Linked DNA regions of Coturnix japonica. The protein of the gene in region 1 interacts with the protein of each later gene in a pairwise test. Links are inferred from orthologs where the notes say so. Each region holds a gene or a part of one and is shown on either strand. Other genes may lie near its edges.

The links. The genes of interacting proteins can lie anywhere in the genome.
Region 2: the proteins of ATP10B (region 1) and TMEM30A interact in a protein complementation assay, tested with the Homo sapiens proteins (2 studies listed by IntAct, with this or other methods). The link is inferred for Coturnix japonica from reciprocal best matches to the Homo sapiens genes ATP10B and TMEM30A.

Annotation. Positions count from the first base shown.
Region 1 is NC_029528.1:9,787,076-9,798,002, reverse strand, and holds the start of ATP10B (probable phospholipid-transporting ATPase VB), read right to left. Parts: upstream 6,290-10,927; 5' UTR 5,389-6,289; coding exon 4,886-5,388; intron 1-4,885. UniProt on the Homo sapiens protein: Catalytic component of a P4-ATPase flippase complex, which catalyzes the hydrolysis of ATP coupled to the transport of glucosylceramide (GlcCer) from the outer to the inner leaflet of lysosome membranes.
Region 2 is NC_029518.1:73,687,271-73,696,898, reverse strand, and holds the end of TMEM30A (cell cycle control protein 50A), read right to left. Parts: intron 9,612-9,628; coding exon 9,504-9,611; intron 9,000-9,503; coding exon 8,912-8,999; intron 8,509-8,911; coding exon 8,365-8,508; intron 7,290-8,364; coding exon 7,083-7,289; intron 4,995-7,082; coding exon 4,801-4,994; 3' UTR 2,715-4,800; downstream 1-2,714. UniProt on the Homo sapiens protein: Accessory component of a P4-ATPase flippase complex which catalyzes the hydrolysis of ATP coupled to the transport of aminophospholipids from the outer to the inner leaflet of various membranes and ensures the maintenance of asymmetric distribution of phospholipids.

The sequences.
Region 1 (10,927 bases):
TCAGTTGGTAGGGAGTTGAAAGTCTGATTCTCATGGTGAAAGGCATCAGGGCTGTGGCACATCAAAGTTATGCTAGGATGAAAGTCTCTCCATTACCTTCTCTCCTTTACCAGTCAATTTATCACCACCACACTTAAAAGCATTCCCTGGCTGCCCTGGAATAACAGGTAGCACAACAACACCCATCACAGGGTAGTGCAGACAGAAAGAGACAGCCTGGAACAGTCACGGAGAAGTCTGCCAGAATTTGATGTTAGACTCATCATATCTGATGAGAAGGACTGAACTGAATGGATTTTATGAAGGTATTTTAGGGGAGAAAGAATCATACAGAAAAGCCTTCTGTGGCTGGAAATTGTTGGGGAACAAGAATAAATTATTGTTGACACAAAGTCATTTCACATTCTTTGATTCAATAAAAATGAACTTCAAACAAAGACTGGGTCAGGAGGGGTGGTGAATAGGAGGAAGTAAGAAAATATTGTGCTGCTCCCAAGAGGAGATTAAATAAAACTGTTTTCCACGTACATGCCACTTCAGAAACCTTCACCATGTATAATGGTTACATCGACCTATTAGCTCAGTAGGTCTGGTTCCTCTGAATTACTAAAAGTTCTAGTCAGCTTCCCTTGCAGTTTGTAGTAAAGATGTTACTCTACCTTTCACACCTGTAAATTGCCACCAGACTGTAATATCAGACAGTTTGGACAAAAAAAATAAAATCAGACTAACATACAGGCAAATCCAAATGTTTGTGTTTTATTGTATGCAAATTCATTTGCATGTTATGTTTGAAAATGGTCACCCTCAAGGATCGCTTTATCAAAAGTGCTCCACCATACTCAGTGCTATGCAACAAACATCTGGAATTACACAGGTATTTAAACATTACAGCCTATTTTTGCAGATACAAATTGAACGCATACTGTCAAGGATTCTAAATGGAAAACTTCACACTAAGCTTTCAAATACCATTTCAAAGCTATGAATTGCAAGGTTAGGAGCTGCTGCCATAACAACCCTGAAAAAATGACAACATAGGAGCAGATTAAGAACTTGAGGGTGGCACTATACTGAAGAGGAACTGATCATGAAATCTGCCCATAGCTTATAATACAGAACAACTTCACACAGTATTCCTGAGCTGGAGATACCACCTGAGTCAAAATATCCATTCCAATTCATCCCTGGTTTATACCATGTTGCCATCATTTTGGTATCTAAGGAGGCTGTTTAGTCTTACGGACATCAGCAGCATCAAAGAACCATAACACTTATTAGAAGTCAGTGAAGTAAAAGAACTTAGCAAGCATCCATAGCCATTCCCCCCAACAACTGTTCAATTTGAGGGTATGAAGCCAGGAGATTCCCTGTTGTTGATATTCATCCGCCATTCAGAGGAAGCACCAGCAAGATACAGAAGCCTTGATGTGGCTGTGCCAAAGCAAATCCAGTGCAATTTTGCCCGAGGGAAGATGGCAGGACTTAAAGCAGACCACAAGCTTGAGACTCTTTTTCTTGGTGTACAAAATGAATCCAATTAAGCCCCCAGCAGAACCCTAGTCTTTAAAGTTGTGCTTTGTTAGAAAACAAAAATAATAGAGTAAAAAGAAATTGTTCTTCAACAAGCAAGAACTCAGCACTGCTGATGAAGACTTAAAATGAAAACGTTGGCAACAAACCTCTTTTTGCATGTTCAATCAAGCATGTTGATCTGCCATCTTGAACCTGAACATCTATTCAGAATAAACAGAAAAATTAAGGTTCAATTTTCTAGAAGCGTGAAGTTGATGTAAAATCCTGTCTGGATGTTATGGAGTGTTTGCCAACCATTACAGCTTTGTCCTAGAGGAACATCAGACCCAGCCCACAGGTTAATCATACGTACATCAAGTGGTTTCTCAAACATTATGGAATGCTGAAGTGATTAAATAGCTTTTAGTAACTGTTGGCTTGGCATTCACTTACAGACCTGCATGCTACACTCAGTGCTGGCCCCTGTTAGTTAGTTAGGGACAAACTCAACAGAGTTCAGAGAACAGTAACCAAAATAGGAGTGGAGGGACTGACTGACAAGACAGATTAAAAGGGTGTTCCGTATACATATCTTGCCTAAAAGCTGTCTGGGAGTAGCAAAATGAACATGATAGAAATTACACATGCATGAAAACTATAATTAAATGTTGATGATGAAGAATAATTAGGGTTGCATGAAACCAGGTCACTTGAGGAATTTTAATGCAATTAAAGAAGGATAATAAAGCAGAATATCTTAGAAAATGCTTCGATAATCACATATTGTAGTGGTAGAAGCCTCATTCCTACAAAAGTTTAAAAGCAGACTAGGTATATTTAACAGAAGACTAAGAATAATTAAAAGAAGACTAAGAGAAAAGAAGCAAGTGTATTTTAGTTCTCATATAGAGGTTTAGCGTGATGTAATCTAGCAGCACAACAGTCTGTATACAAATTATGATTTCAAAAACCTTTTAGTCAGGAAGTAAAATGTCTGCAATCAAACATCAGATCTAAGGTATTGAAACTCCCAAGATACTTTAATATTATTGTTTCTTCTTTTATTTATTTATTTATTTATTTATTTAATTTTCCTTCTCCAATTAAGCATTCTTTAAGTACACTACTTGAAGTGCCTTTTCCTTCATTTGACTAGCAGGCTAGATTAGCCATTCCAGCTGACCTCTGTGAAAAGAAAATTAGAAGTAATGTGTTTACAGGGCAGTCTACTTGAATTCAATTTCCCTTGCTCCATACTGAAAGGAGACAAGTTGCAGCATTTCCTCTGGTGTTCAAGACATTTTTGGAGGACATTTGGCTTTCAGCAAAGGGAGTGCACTTTATGTTTTATGGAACAGGAACTAGAGTTCTTGTTTCTGAAATCTGAAATGAAGACAATTTACTCTCCAAGATTAATACTTTAAATCTAATTAAATTTTCATCTTATGATGAAGAGGAGTTATTCTATTACAAAAGATTCTTTGGTGTCACAAGATTAACAAGATTCACAGTCCCCCCCAAAAAAACTTTCACTCATGTTAAAAAATTACCTATGGCAGATGATTCACAAGGAGGAAAATTAGAAGCCATCATACTCTTCCATGACTTTGCAGCTAGCAGGAAGAACAAGACCTACCAGCTTCCCTAAAAGCTATAGAAGCCTGATTAAAATTATTCATTATATAATAAGCTGCAACTACAGATCTGATGGCAATTACAATTGTCAACACTTTTTCCAGATAGAAAAATAAGGAAGCCTTCACACTCTAATATTCATTCTTTCTCTTACGTCACTGCTTTGGGCCATAAGACTCTGGTAAGACACAAGATTTATTCGTAGATCAAAGATCTTCCTATGGAATGGGATGAGCAATGTTAAGATGTGCTGTCTCATCTTTCTGCATAAGAAAGTACAAAGGGCTACAACTTGGATCTGGATCTGTTTGTACCTTGTAATGCTATAACGTACATTTTTCTTTAACATGAAAACAGTTTATATTGTATTCTCTAATTCTCATTTACTCAAGGTAAAAGTCTTCTCCATATAAATTAACACAATTGCTTTATGTCAAGAGGAAGTAATGTTTCCATGCCAATGCATTCATTAGTACCTACTGCATCACCTACTATTCCCTGTTATGTGGTCTCAACAAATCATCCATCGCTCCATGGATTAATATAACTCTGAGAGCATCAAAGGTAGGAGCAATTCAGGTACCTACTCAAAGAACGAGAATTATCGACAGTCTTCATGGTGGAAGAGAAAAGAAGTCTTAGATGTGCAATATTTAGAAACTTGTAAAATGCCCACTTTTCCAGATACGCTGGCAAAATGAGCAAAGATTTTAATTCTGACACATCATTATCTGCATGTTGGGGTAAAAGTAAGCAAATCCATTATTTCTCTGTTTAACCAGCAGGATATGAAAATAAAAATCCGACAAACACATGCAAGAGCAAGAAACAGCAATGGCAGAACTCTGTGATAAAAGTTAGAGATTTACAAGATCCTACTTGTGAGAACATACACTGTATAAAGCACTGCTGATTAACTGGAGGAATGATAAATAAAGTTCAGGTAAATTATAAGTTTTGCTCTGCTGGTACCCTATGTGATATTTAAGGAGGCAGAAGCCATTTTCTATGTTGATAACAGTTTTAATACAACAAATGTCCTAAGTTTAAGAGGTCATTAAACATTTTGAAAATGTCACAGATATTTAGAGATAATTCATTTAGAGAAGATCAAACAGAAATATGTTACTACCTCAAATTTTTAAAATACGCTTATATTCATTTTTGTTTAACATATAATCTAGTAAATAAATAAATAAAAGAAAACCCAAAAACACAACTGGAAGGCAGCCTGCAGACTGGAATATAAAACTGAAATTAATTCAAAGCACTAGCAATGTTTTTCAAAGGTTTCATGGCCTCTAAGCAAACAAGGACCCATTTGCATGAATGATCTTGTTCTGTGCTATATTGTTTGTGCAAATCTTGTTCTGCACCTTATTGGCAGAATTCAGCTCTGCTGAAAATTCCTTAGAACTCCAGGGCTCGGCAGCTATTTAAACACTCCACGTCTAAGAGGCCAATAGCCACTGCAGAGCCATGAAACAAAAATTTTCCTTTCCAGTCTGAACAATAGATTTAAGCAAAATAGGAACATCTTTTTATCAGACCAAGTATGGGTGTTATCTAGTCACTGCAACTTTATACCACTTCACTTAATCACTGTGATTTTCTAGCAGGCATTAATTGATACTTTAAACAAGAAACCTCACAATTGATAAAAGATCTCAAGTCAACATTTTCCAAAGTAAAAGCTGTTTGAAAAAAAAGGAAAAAAAAAAAAAAAAAAGCTCACCTGCTGTAAATGTAACAACCCATGTGATTGATTTCTTTGTCTAGTTTATACCGCCGAAAGTCCTCCCAAGCGTCTTTAATGGCTGTCATGGCCATTATAACACAAATAGGGATCAAAGAAACTTCTGGTTGGAAAGCATTCACCACCGGCACAAAATTCAGTAGTGCAATGACCACAAAATAAATATTGGCAAAGCGGTGAAGCTGCTCATAGATGTTTTTAGGGAAGAAAGTCAAGATGCTGTATTTTGTGGTCTTAATTTTATTGGAGTCATAGTATCTGTTTGGATTTTCCTTCCACTTCATATTTCCAAAAGACAAATTGGAGATGATCACTCGCTTATTTTCATTTTTCTTCCTTCTTTTCTTTAGTTTTCCTCTCTTCTCCAGCACTTCATTTTGGGGTTCTGTGTCTGAAGCAACACACTGACAGCAGGTTTCCTTGAAAAAATGTTTTTTCCATACCATCTTAGAGAAGCAGCCTGGAAAATTCCTCCTTGACATCTTGCTGTCCTCTCAAAAAGTAGCCTCAAGTCATAGGCTAACAAAGCTAGTAGAGTTCAGTAACCCACATAAACTCCAAAGTGGTGGAGGGAAGACTCAAGCTGTCGGGAGCCCAGGGCTGCTTGTCGCTGACTCCAGCATCCACCTGCCTGTGAACAGGTATCTTCCTGACCCAGCTGCTCCGGGTCCTAAAGCTTGCTGGGAAGGCTACACGTCACACACGAGAAAAACATCCTGAATGTTTTGTTATTCCTGTTACTACATGCCTGGAGGCCCCAGAGTATTTCCCTGGAATCATGTGTCTGCTCACATGAAGTACCTCTGTTTCAGCGCTGCACAGATGAAACTAAGAACATACACGCAGTTTTCACCATTCACTCTAAGTGTTTCTGAATCGTTTTATAAGCCTGTTAGCATCCAGGAAGTTCAAAGGTAAAGGGCTGAGCTCTGAGTACAGAAGTCAACCAATTTACTATGAGCCTCTGTACAGATGATATTAGTTACTTCCATCCTACTATTTGCTTTCAAGCTCATAACTTAATTTATTACAACAAACAAGCAAGCACCCGGTCCCTCCCCACTCACTAATACAAACACAAAATTTCTAGTAGAAAGAACTATAAATATACATAGGCAATTTAAGAGCAGTTTACCCAGGTTGCCCCACAGGTTGAAGCTCCTCCCCTGTTAGACCAGCCTCTAGACTCCCATTTCCTTTTCAAACTCTGACCTTTCTCACCCTTTTCTCCTTGCAGACTCTCATTTCTTTCAGTCTGTTGGACCTTGTGCCCTTGCCACATAAGTAATCAGCACAGATGAGAGTTAATTTTCAAGAAGGCTTCACAGTAATTTTTCCTCTATGGTTTGGACATAAGGAGATGTGAAAGAATAGAAGAGGCACAAGTATTTAAACTTCTTACAAAGCAAAGCTCCTATTGTGTTATGTAGAGACAAGTGAGGTAGTCTCAAGTCAAATTAGTACTTAGACAAGAAACTCTGATGAAATCGAAATGTTGCAATAAGAATTGCACTTGAAAATACTTCTTCCTTCTGAGTCAGTACTGAGCAAACAACACAGCTTACTGCAAGTGGGTGTTGTACCACTTCCAGAGTGAAAATGTGTTGTTTTGATCACCTGTGCTAACTGGAAATGCTATAAAATTTGCTTAGTTCCTGGCTACACATCACCTTGAACGCATAAATGCAGTTGATTATTAACTTTGTATAAATGGTTTTATCACGAAATTTCTGAAAGATGTTGTTTCCGTGTATTAAAAAACAAAAACAGACCGTAATGATCCTTTCCAGACTTCCTCCAGAACCTTCTGCTACTGGGAGATGATACTGTTTGTGTTGGTAAACTGGTATGGAAACTTGGAATGAAAACTGGTGTATCAGCACATAAATCTGTGATATAGAACAAAGCTTCTCAGGATAACTCTGACCCTGAGTGAGATAAATGAAGCACTTTCTGAAGCAGAACAAAAGTCTTTTATAACAGCTCTTCCAAACTTCCTGTACTCCAAAAGGTCAGGAAGGGAATTGTTACAAAATCAAAACAAGCATTTTCCAACACACCAAACTCAAGGAGAATAAATGGTTTGGTCTACTTACTTGTCATATACTCTGCTTTTAGAGGAGTTTATCATCTTATCGAATTGGTATTTTTTATAGTCTTCAGTAGCATCCTTAATCATACTGGCAAGCAGCACCACAATCAGAGGAATCATTGTAATCTCCCTGTGGAAGACTTCCATTTGTGGGAACCAGTTTAGAACCACCAGGAAGAGAAAATAAACATTAGCTAGCCTGTAAAGAAAGATACAAAAAGGGATTAAAGGTGTTACTTCTTAATTAAAATCCCTCATCTCGTGCCATAAGCATTAATTGTTTCACATCTCTAACCTCATCCTTTTCCTAAATAATCAATTATTTAACTGAGTTGCTTATTTTTTTTTCTTTAGAAAAGCTTGTGAGTTATATTGTCATAATATTATAACTACCTTAATAGTACAAATGTGTGTGTATATATATATATATATATATATATATATATATATATATATATATATATACACACACACACACACACACATATGTCTAGGAGCTGAATCTTCTCTAATGTTCTCCCACAAACTCACTTCTGAAAATAATCATAGATTCCAGCAAAGGGCAAACAAAGAAATTACTATGGAGCCCTCCATCCCCCCACAGAAAAAGACAACACACCAAACAACACAACAACCCCACAGAAAAACAACACCACTTACAACTCTCAAAAAATAAACCAATGCAACGAGTACAGAAAACATACATTCATAATTCACATTGGGATTCACTCAAAATTCCATGTGTGGAAAATGAAAGATCAAATCATGAAGGTATAAGTCTAAGAGAACAGAAATATCAGTTCTAGAGATGAAGATGGAACTACCAGTTATTGTGATATGCAACTTGAAATTTTTCCAAGGAAAGCTGCTCTGGTACTGAAGCAGTAAACGTGGCCATGGCACAGGTTAGAACACCACCTACTACTTATTTGCTTTAAGCCTCCACTTCAGTATGAATTAGGTGACAATTTTTTTACAAAGAGTCTTCTCCTAAATTTTAAACACATGGAAGCTACAGAAGCAACCCTTCTCTATCATTTCCAAATATCACTGTTTCAGAAAGAATTCTTATACTTCATATACCACTTGATGATTGTCACTTTTACCTGTGAAACTGCCTAAAAAGATTTTTGGGCAAAAAAGTAAGCCACGTGTATTTTGTAGTCTGTATCTTATTTCCAGCATAAAGCCTAGTAGCTTGGTCCCAGCTTCTCTGCTGTCTCCCATTGTTGGAAAACACAATCCTCCACTTGTTTAAGTCGAGTTTCAGTCTGTCTCTGACAGAAAACAGCAGAGGTGTTGATTCCGCCACAGTCTGGGGGGCACTTTTGGCTCCAAGATGCTGCCAACGGTACAAAGCTGAGTCTACCGACAAAGCCATTCACAGCAGGACCGTCAGGCTGAAAGACAAATGCACAACAAGGACTGAAAGCCAATTCCCTTCTAGTAGAAAATTCACTTTGTACCTTGCTAGCAGAGGTATAAAACAACAATGCTACTGTTCAGTCCATTACATGATCAGCCTTTGAGCTCAGCACTTTCTACAGAGAATGCATGGAATAAGAGTTACAACAAAATATTCAGTAATGAAAAATCCATTTCTATCTCCAGGCAAAAGAAAGCCCACTTCCATTTTCTGTATTGTATAACAGGAAACTAACATAGATAAAATCAGTTTAACAGATGTGAACAACAGCTTTTCTGTAAACAAAATCTGTGTTGTTTTCTTCAGTCATCAACAGCCACCAAATCCATTCAGGCATTTTTCTTCAAGAGTTTCAGACTTCCTTACAATACTTTTTCTTTTCACACTTAAAAAATGACAGACTCAGGTGTTGAATCTCAAATCTCAGATAGTAATGAACTGCAACATCAGCTTAGTCTCCTGTACGTTCTCATAATAGTTTTCTAGAAGCTCCATAGAAATCTCATTTAAATGGAAAATGCCTAGCAGCACTAAAACAATCATTGGAGAGATAAAAGAATTCAATCTCCTAATACTAATCCTGTTATCACTGAACACTTGTCTTCTGACTTGTTCACACATTCACAATTGCAATCGAATGGCCAGGACACTCAGGCTCCAGCAGTGTTTTATTATGCTCAATCCAAGCACAGTAGAATCTCAGCAGCAGGAGCCTGGGGACCAGAAGCTGCCTTGTGAAGCTGAAGCAGCAAATGTGAAAAAACAAGGAAATACACTGTTTTGTGCAACTTCACAGTTCCTCTGAACCAGAACTGTGAACTGAACCCACCTCAACTGGGCTGTGGGAAATTATATATATATATATTTATATATATATATGTGTGTGTGTGTGTGTATATTTAAATATTTAATCTTAGACTACGGTCATTTAGTGTTTAACTCATGCAAGTCTCAATAGACTCATTTCAAAATAGTGTACTTTGAAAGAGTTTATGCCTTTATTACAGGCTGTGTCTTTTTTTCCCCTCAGCTTTCAGCTTCCTCATCCAAAATGCCTTTATTACTGAATGCAATGTGATTTCCTTTAGGAAAAAAAAAAAAAGAAAGAAAGAAAGAGGAAAAAAAAAACAACAAACATAGCCATATTTAAAAACATGTATGTGATACAGTCACAGGATGGGGAAATGTAGACTACTGAACTGCACTAACACCTTTGAAGTGGGTTGTGGTAACAGCAAGAAACAAGGAAGGTTTATGCACTTTTGCTCACTAGGTGCTCAGAAAAATCATTGAGAGTTCATGTCACACAGCAACACCCAGGGATCCTCTACAGTGAGAGTAGAATGACCAATTTCTACCTATCAGATCTTGGTTGTACTGGCTTCATTGATACAAATTTAAGTTATAATATTCAATGAATCAGATCTAATGCTATGATAACTTGACGGGATGTTGAAACTATGAATTTCTAGGAGTTCAAAAAGGTGTAAATATCTGAACAAGCAAGCAAAAGAAGCTGGACTTGCTGTTACTTGTGCTGTGCACCACAAACTAGGATTCCAGCACTTATCCATAGACTTTAGATGACTTCACTGTGTTTGCAGTAACAGTATTCACCTGTGGAATGATTAGCTACTACAGTGTTAAGCAGTTGTCATTGTGATAATGGGTTAATATGTACTTAGAAAGCAAAACAATTTATAAGCATTCTTGATCCATGAAGGCCATATTCATATAGATGCTTGAGTGTAGTCAGCATCCATGCAGCTAATCAGCCTTCAGGGCTTGCTGCAAGGGAATTAAAAACAGCATCCCCATGGGACTGAGACCATAGATGAATTATAGGCAATGTGTTATGAGTCAGATATGGTCTGCAGGGGAGAGAGAGTGATTTGACAAAGGCGTACTTAACCTAACCTCTGTTTGGGTTCAGTTTGGTCCCTCTTTTCTGACCTCCAAGTGGAAGAGACATGCAAAAAAGCTAACACAAGACAAAATATCTCATGCAACATATAAGTAATTAAAGTATAACTTATTTCTAGTAAAGGTAACAAGCAGACACCCGATTATATTCAGGTTTGAAGTGAAAAGTGTGTATCTGGTGTTAACAGAAGGCTAGACATGGTCATGTTATTTCACAAGCCCACATCAAACTTCCTGAAACATGAAAAGCAAGAAGTTAAGCATGAAAACCTTGGTGCATCTCCCATCAAATAATAGGATTTAAGTCTAAACAAGTTTTCTAGACTTCTGATGCTCGATGAAAGACTTAGAATCCCTGTGAACAGAAACACTATCATTCACACTGTTGACAGAAAGGTGTTGAAAAAAAGTTTGAATTCCCTAGAAAGAAAAGGAGGACTGACATCACATTCCTTCTGCAGTAGAGTGCAATTTCACAATTATCATCAGGAACATCGTCACTGAATAATTTTTTCCTTGCCTTTTGCACATAGATTAAAACATCCAACTTCTACTAATTAAAAAGAATGCTCAATGGTAT
Region 2 (9,628 bases), on another chromosome or scaffold:
GCTGCCAGAACACCACTTCCCAGCTCACTGCAGTAGCAGGGCACTCAAGTCCTGATATTAAAGTGCTTGTGCTGGTGCCAGAGCTGCTGACGAATAATCTGTGTCAAAGACAGAAAATCAGTGTTTGGCACAGTACAGAAATAATAAACTACATCCCAAAGCAGAGCACTTCCCAGCCCGATGGGCTGCCTCAGAAAGGTGCAATGAAAAAACACAAAGATGGAAAACCATCTGAACTGAGCTGAGTTCAGTATTAAAAATACCACTCATAAAGCACAGTCGTAGAGAAAAAGAAGAGAAATGGCATCTTGCAGCCACAGAGCAAAGGTATTTCATTAGAAGCAAAGTGAAACACATTTTTCCTAACAGATTAATTTTAACATACATTGCATTGAAAAATAATGAAACTCGTAATCAAAACTCACTGCTAGGCTGTTTTGTTTAAGCCTGACTGAACAGGGCTGTTCTTCTGTTTCTGATTAATAGTTTAATCTTTTTTTAACAGGGTTTAAAATGATACACAAACACCTGAGTTCACTTTCAGCCTACCAGTCAAAGTAGAAAGCCCTGGAGCAGTGGGATAGGTGGACGTGACATTTAAGCTTCTCCTAGATTCTCATATTCTCATTTCTTCCAAAAATATCACGTCTCAATCTTTCATATTTTCCCAAGAGAATCATTGAGGTCATCAATGATCTTCCTGGCCCTCCAACATTACTTAAAACATCTCACCATTTCATCCTGTGACATCCAAGCACTATCAGTTAGTCTCGCACGTAACTCTAGTATTAAGTTTGCTTCTTTGAGGTCACATTTACCTGAAATCAGGGTTTAGGAAGAAGAAATCCTATCCATTTTCTTTCAAATTAATTGCTATAATAATAATAATAAAAACCCCTTAGCTTCATTAGTTACGAGTCATGCTTTTATTTCTGCTTACTTATTTCCAACATAAAATGAGAACAACTATTTCCAACAGCAGAAATTGGCATAAGCTCAAGCAACAGACATTATTACTATAATTCATGTGCTGGTTGAGCAGAAGAAAAGAGTTTCTTATTTGCGACCCAGGTCATATAAGGATATGGATTCTTATCAGGCTTATGATCACAGTCCATCTAAATCAAAACCATCAAGAGCTCCCATTTAAGGCATACTATGTTAATTAAATCATATTCTGTGAGCTAAAATGCATGGAACTGTAACATGAAAGTACTTCTGCTGATCCAAGGAAGATATGTAACTGGGGCCTTCTATCTTAGGAGTCCATACATTGACCACATTGCTAAAAAGACAGCTGGAATAAAAGTAGCTTGACCATTCACTTCCTTCCCCTACCAAGCAAGAGTTTTCTTTTGGCAGGCTGTTCAACACAGACACAAGCACTCAAAAATGTCATTTTATTTATAAGTAACTGATTGTAACTAGGCTGATACAGCCCCTCATAGGACTACCTTGGTATGTATTTGTTGTTATTATTGTTGGGACATTGATGAAGGCTTCTGCACTGTTGCCCTCTTCCTTTCTAACTCTTCAAAATTAGTTGAGTTGCAGAGAGCAACACACAGTAACAAATATAGAATTTCTATAAAGCAAATACAAAAGATATTGGTCTTATGTAGGACCAAGGTAGGATCAGATTTTCAGGCATTTTCTGCTACTTGGCAGACTCAAGCAGATGTTACCTGACATTAGATTGTCAAAGATTTCTATAAAAAGACAAACCTTGTGTTCTTCAAGGTTTAACATTCATAATTAAAGCAAAACCAGGCTGCTGACACTGTGGTTTCAGTACCAATGTGACCTTCAGAGGCAAAGGCTACAAAGAATTCTTCACATTCAAGTTTTAAGGCGATAACTCTTCCCTCTGACTCAGCTAATCACAACCAACAGCTCTCCAAATAGCCCAAAGCAATTTAAAAGTACCCAAGGGGCCCTCTGCTTTGCTACAGCTGTGCAGATTTTAACAAGGCTGGAAGGAAGATGGACACACACAAAGGATTTTGTTTTAAAAGCTCCTGCGTAAGACAGAGACACATCCTAGTTTCCCACATTAATTTCTCCAGGAAAGATTCATTCACAAGTAGGATGTCCTAACACCGCCTGCTTCCAGGAAGCCTATAATCTCATGCTTTGGGCACTGCCTCAACAGGGTGGGATTTGGAAAGTGCCTGGCTGGCACTTGGAAACGAGAGGCATTGCTTTCCAGATCTGAACACTAGCAGTTGTGTGGAACGGATGTCACTGAAGGACCAGGGCACAGGTGGTCAGCTCCAACACACGGCACACAGCACTGGGACAGCAACACCGCCCTGACAAGTGTCAGACAGGGACACTGTGGCTTTGTCTTTGAACACATGACACATTGGCAGCTTCCAGGAAACGCAAAGTCTAAGAATCCCAGTAGTTACCTACGTGCTACCAAGGCAAACGAAGAAGAGTAAAGTAAGAGATTACAAGTTAGACCTAATATTTTGACTTCCTTGGGCATAATGTTCATATTCATAGTATCATAGTATCATAGTCTTGTGCGGGTTGGAAGGGACCTTAGAGATTATTGAGTCCAACCCCTGGGATTCGAGCCTCCTGTGTAGCAGAGCGGCGCTTCTACCACTTGTGCCACAGGGGGGATTCGAACTCGGGCCTCCAGTGTTGCAACGCAGCATTCCTACCACTGCGCCACTGCATACTGACAAGTATTTTGTGCTACAGGCTTTCAGAAAAAAGGCTTTATTTGTAGCAAGAACAAACATTCAGCAATTCTTCTTGGTGCACTTCATTAAGAAGATCCAAACAGCAGTGACAGCTGTGCTCAACAGGAAAAGAAAAAAGCAATGAAAAACATTTCTAGGTAGAGATAGAGAAATATTCTTTTCCATTTTGAACGCAGCCCAAAAACCAGCATTCCCTGCTCAGAAAAGGGGTCATGAATAAAGCAAAACATTTACCTTTCAAGTGACAAATGGTTTAAAAATCAAAATATTTTAGTAAGCAGTAAATGGGAAACATCTTACTTGTCTACTTTGTTTTGGACTAAACTGTTCTCCAGAGGAATGCCAGCTTAACATCTTGTGCAACCTTCCAACCTTGCAATATACAGTTCTATATCTTTATCCTATATTTCCAGCAACAGATACAGCACTGCAAAAAAATCTAGAAGACCTGAATGTTTAAAAGCCCTGCGCTACCACAATGTACTGTGTAAGCAAATTATATGCTTATACAGAAAGCCAGCACCATGGAAACACTGCTTCATCCTGCAGTGTATGCAGACCTAAACACGTAAACCGCAAGCTGAAAAACATTACACAAGTAATTGACTAAATATAGTTTTGCATTTATGTGCTAGATTAATACAGTGTTGTATAAAGATGGCTGTAGATGTTACATTGATTTTTTGTAACTGAGAAATACAACTTGCTTAAAACGCATTCATTCTTCATGAGAATGGCTTTTCACCCAGATGAAAATAAATGCACGTTCAAGAAGAAAGTAAAATCTCTTAATAAATGGTTTGCAGAATTTATTAGGTATTTTTAATACACTCAGTACTTACGAAGCTAGTTGCATATAAAGTGATCTCCACCATATACATTACAATTTCTGTGCATCATCTAAAAAGAAATCAGATAGTATTTTATAGATTAACTAGCTTCAAATTAACCTAGAAGTGAACCCTTCTGCTGTTTATGACACTAAACCTCACTGCTTCTAACTGCAATATTTCAATTAGGTTTCACTGCAAACATAAGCTGCACTGGAATAACAAAGATCACTGTCATCTCAGCTTCTCAATTTCTACAGTTCAGTATCTCAACACTGCAAGAATTTATTGTGGCATCTACTCCATATAAGGAAACAGAACGTGAGATTTCCTTTACAACAAAGCCTGCTCAGCAGAATACATGTTTCAAGAAACTCTTAGTGAAAGGAATTCACTCAAGTCTGTGACTTGAACAGACATTTTAGATTCATCTTGCTTACTGCATGGAGGTACTCTTTAAAAAGCAAAACCAGCAAAGCACATCAGGAAAACTGGATATAACTTAAAGCAAAGAGAACAACAAAACAGCAGGTTCTACCTGCAACAAACATCTCCCAGTTTAGAACAAAATTTAAGAGGAACTCATAGAGATAATGAACAAATAGGTTTCCCGATGCCTTTATAGAATGCCATTTTACTGGCCAGGCACATCTGTTGCAACTATTAACAGGAATTCCATGTGTTGCAATTCGCACTGCACTTAAAGAATCTAACGTAACAAAGGTGGGTAGGACACAGGAAAGAACATTTAACTGCTAATATAAATATATTAAAATCTCATCCGGAAATGTAAGAGTCCATGCACACAAGACAATAAATTGAAAAAAACACTTAAGACTTGCCTTTTCCTTTCAAAAGCAATGACACTCAAATTCTGCTAAATGAACAATTTACATGGTATCTTACAACAGTCTTCTCCACAATCTGTATGTACTGAATCATACTGACGTTACACAGCACATGACAAGCAGCAGATGCATCAAGGGAACCGGAGCTACATGCATCAAATGGCCTGCCCAGCCAGAGGCAAAGATCAGAAAACTGTTTCTGACAAATGCAGAGATACAATCAATACAGCTAATTGTATACCCGTCATTCTGAGAGTTAATCCACAGCAAGGGGGAAAGGAGATCTTTAGATAAAATTATATACCCAGCCCCAGAAGTGACATTAGCAGAGATTTATCTTCCAACAGCTGGGTCCGTTCTGGACTGGCCTTGATGCACATGCAGCATAGTTGCTTTCAAAACGCGACTTTAATTGGGAATGTCTGCACTGGTGTTTCTATTTCCATATTTGTGATGGATGATCAGCAATACAACTCCTAAGAAGAAGCATATGGACCCAACAGTGATGTACGCAATGCCCAGGAAGGGGTTTTTGCCTCCCATCCATGAGATTGTGCTTAGGATCATTCTTTTTCGTCCATCAAAACTGTGCACGGGATAATCTGAGAGAAAACAAGGAATATAGGAAAACAAGAAACATGAAGTGCATTTCCAAACCTAACTTAATCAGGCACACTAACATGTTGGATTATCTGACTCAGGCTCCCGACACAAACATCTTTGAATATTCAAAGTAGCTTCAAAGTAGCTGTTCTTTTAAAAAAAGATTAACTTGGGCACAGTCAACTACTCCAAGAAAAATGCCACAGGGGTTATTCACTTTGTAAGTGGAAAGTAAATGCAGTTTCATGGGCCTTTGAAAGGAACTTCAATAAAATGAAGAAAATACACTGAGGAATTGAAATCTGTATTTTAGTTTTTCCTAGTGAATAAATAGATAAATAATAAATAGACTCTTTTTTACACGCACTCTCTGCTGTTTTGCAGGGAAGAAAAATACTGCAGTGAGTACTTTAATGATCTTCAGGAGCTTTCGAGTTTTAAGAATTCAGTAACTATGACAACCTGCCTCCTCTAGTCTCCTACATAACTACCTCATCTTTTGTGTGCCCAAAAAGGAATGACAGATGTGCACCTGATCCACAGCTCTGGCCTCTAAATTCTGAGCTCTTCACCTCTAAATTAACAGCTCAAGCAAAGCATCACCTGAACTATGCCTACACATCTTCCTGTTAGACTGCAGTCTGTCTGCTTCTGTATCTACCCAAAAAATTATCACATGAAAATGCTCCCATGCAAAGACTGCAGCCTCAATCCCTTGAAGCAGGCAGCAGGGACTGCAAGGAGCCACATATGTGAACAAGCTGTGTGAGACTAAGGGTGAATGAGGCTGACCATACCCCTCTAAGCACTCAAGCATACTGAGAAGACACTAGTGTCTAGACTAGTGTCCTTCATTTGCTTACTGGCAAATTTTGCACTGAAATCTTCCCTGATATTAATTTATAATCTCACAAAGGCCTCTTTAGAAGACTGGGGTGCTGTTGTTTTTTTTTTTGTCCCCCCATTTTGTGATCTCTGAAAACAGAAACAAAAAAAAAAATCCAAATAATATTTTCATCCTCATTAAATACATAATGCAGTTCTATGAGAGCTACACAATAGTTTAAGAAAATTATGATTAAAACTGTATTTACATTGAAGAATATGAGCCTAAGTGAAAAAACTTGCAATAAGGCTACAAATTTACAAGTCATTCCTGTATTAGATTGTATCTGAAGATCCAGCTGACTCCGCAGCATTGTGTTTTTCTCCCTCCACCCTCGTCATCAGGCAAGTGTGATGTGCTTTAAGTTAAAAATGAAACACAAGAGGTAAAATCCTACATTTCTAAAGAATAATATTCTCAAAAAGATACTTGATCTCCCTGGTGACAGGATGAGGGGAAATGGCCTCAAGTTGCACCAGATAAGTTTAGGCTGGATATCAGGGAAAACTTCTTTAATGAAAGGGCTGTTAAGCGCTGAAATAGGCTCCCCAGGGAGGTGGGTTGAGTCACCATCCCTGGATGTGTTTCAGAACCATTTGGATGTGGTGCTCAGAGTCATGACTTAGCAGAGGGCTGTTAGTTAGGGTAGCATGGTTAGGCTGCGGTTGGACTTGATGATCTTTAAGGTCCTTCCCAACCTGAGTGACTCTATGATTCTACGAAAGTCACCTTGGCAAAACCTTCACCATAAAGTCAACTTCTATAATATAGTAAATTCTTTGTGACTTTCTATATGGTATAGCCACAGACATACCACAAGTCTGAGTGATTGCATGAGACAGGAACATGGTTTTTGCAGACTGTCACATCCCTCCTATGCATCAAAGAAAGCTTTCTCTCTTTCCTAGAACAATGGATTTTGGTTTTTAATTAGAGCTACTTCTTACTTTAGCATAACTAGCTCAGACAACTCCATGCTTCAGGTGGCCATTCTGAAGTCAAGATGACCCAGTCATTTCCCTTTATGAAGCTACGGAACTGAATTTCATGATCTTAACAGAACAAACATAAGTTAGTTCTATAAACTATATGCAGAAGACAGCAATTATAAAGTCTCATTTGATTTAACCTTCCTTAAAAGTCCACCCATGTAACCCAGACAGTGTTCTAAGGAGTTTTTAAGGGCATTTTCAAAGGATACTGTACGTGATATCCAAAGAATATTTTCCAGCCTGTAAGGTAGGCTGTAAGTTACTCTTCCTCTCAATGAGACGATACAGCTTACGAAATGTTGGCAGAGCAGCAGTACGCATCCACACGATAAAGTCTTCATTGATAAAGCCATTGTTGTCAGGCTCAGAGTCCAGCATATACACTGGTTTGGGCCAGTTGACTGGTTTTGTTGTACCTAAGATTAAACAAAAACAACAATAAAGCATTTCAAACACAGGACTAAATGAAGCACTGGATCACCAAAATTCATTCTAGTATCATAAAAAACATGCAGTGAATCCTAAGCAGTACGAAGAGCCAGACTGGCTCATTGCTACTGCAAGATTACTGAACTGCTCAGGAACATTAGAGTATGGCATCTGCCTTTGCAAGGGTAACATCACTTTGGTAAGGTCACTTGGCTGTGACTAAGCAAGCAAGACATATCAGGCTAAACCTAGAGCTATTTTCTATCTTACATATACACACAGACCCAAAAGCCCAGAAGGAAAACTGCTTTTAGACTTTGTCAAAGAAACTCCGACTTACCAGGCTGTACTTAACTACATTTAACCTTATAACTGAGAAAAATCAGTTAATCTGATCACAAATAATCAGATTTTAAAAAGCACTGTAAGATCTACCAGTAGAAACATTAAAAAAGAAAATTTCACACAGTTTGGTTAAATAATCACAGGATTTCTTCTGAAGTTAAAACCACGTATTATAGCACTGCACTTAACGAGGATTTTCTCAGTATTCAAGGCATAAAAAGTTATCAAGAGCTATTATATATATACATATATATATATACACACACACACACACATATATATATATCAGAATTTGATTTGATATTTCAAGATCCCAAACGGCAACAAGTAATTGAAATATCACTTAAGCCAAGAATCTTTTCACCATCTTAACAAATTGGATTAGTTGCTAAGGCAAAACTAATCTGATGCCAAGCAACTGACAGAAAGAGCTTTCATGAAAGTTCAGAAAGATTAAACAGGAAATAAGCCCAGGTTCTATTTTTACATGTTAAATGACTACAGTGAATTTAGAAAAAATTATATTAGTTCTGCATTAAATTTGCAGCATCCACTGTTAACAGACAACTCTTCCAGAAAGCAGAGAAGTCCTTAGCTTGGACTTCTTCATAGAACAATATATTTAACATGTTCACTACAATGTCACCATTGAGGTGAAGTCCATGGCAATCAATGTGTTTGAAATCTTTTGTTCTTAAAATTTCACACATTTCTTACCTTGGAAGAGCGCAGTTAAATTCTTTCCATCTCCTGTAGGATTCCTGAACTTCACATTTTTATCTGTCCACCACGCAATGCCTTTTTTAATCAAAGTAATAGCGGTCCTTGTGTCGTTTTCGATGTGGTACAATTCCAATGTATCTATGGGGAAAATCAAATTGGAAGACCAGATAAGAGTGGCTTTTATTAGATGAATGATCCTGATAGGCAGTAAAATAATTATCTACAGGAAAAACAAATTGCCACAATCAAGAACTGTTCTGTAATAATCCACACACATACAGAGCAGTGCGTTATACATGTATAGCATCTTTATTCCACAGCCATAACAGCCACTCACAACAGATGTTTCAATCCCTTGTGTGCTATCAGGTTAAATTCACTGTGGTGGTTATTAATGGTATTTTAATCTCAACATTCCAAACAATTAAGGTGTGTTAATTCAAAACAAAACAATCCACAATAATACCCAGAATAAAGCATCAGTACAAAGCATACACAACACAAAAACACCTCAGTGCTAAACTCAGAAGTGTTACCGTACCATTAAACATACTGTTGGCAATAGCCCCACAGGGAGCAATGGGTTTATCCTCATTGGTGCGGTAAGGCTCACATTCCTTACTTGGATTCTGACAGTTAGAAAGAAAAAAAGGCAGATCAGTCTGTGCTAGTTTATACTTCAGTACTTCACACACGTACACAGCTCACACTTACTACAAAATATTCTCAGGAGTGAGTTTATTTACATATACTTCAGCATTCATTGCTAATCGATATGATTGATTTTTTTCTTTACAAGCAGGAAAATATTCTAGATAAAATATGAATAAAGTCAAAAATCCCATGATGGTCATTGTAAAATTAAGACTGTGCTTAGAAACTGTTAAAAGAGGGGAAAAAATGTTCTAACTGGAATGTTATTTATTTTTAATAAATAAAAGAATTAAGAATTTAATAAATAAAAGAACGTTTATTATTTTTAATAAAAAATATGAATACCTTATTGTTTGTTGAATACAAAAATTCTACAGCTACGTTATTATTAAACTAGTTATTCTGCCCTGTGATAACTTATGCAAGTCAGCTGTTCATTGCCTACTAGTATCTGTAAATATCAAAGCTCGAATACCTACAAGTAATGAGCTGTTGTCTCCGTTGAGTTGGCTGTCATCTCGAGATTTCACATAGCGACGGTGGTTTTGATAGAAGTTAGAAAGTCCGTAATACATGAAGACGTTACTCTACAAGAAGGGTTTTG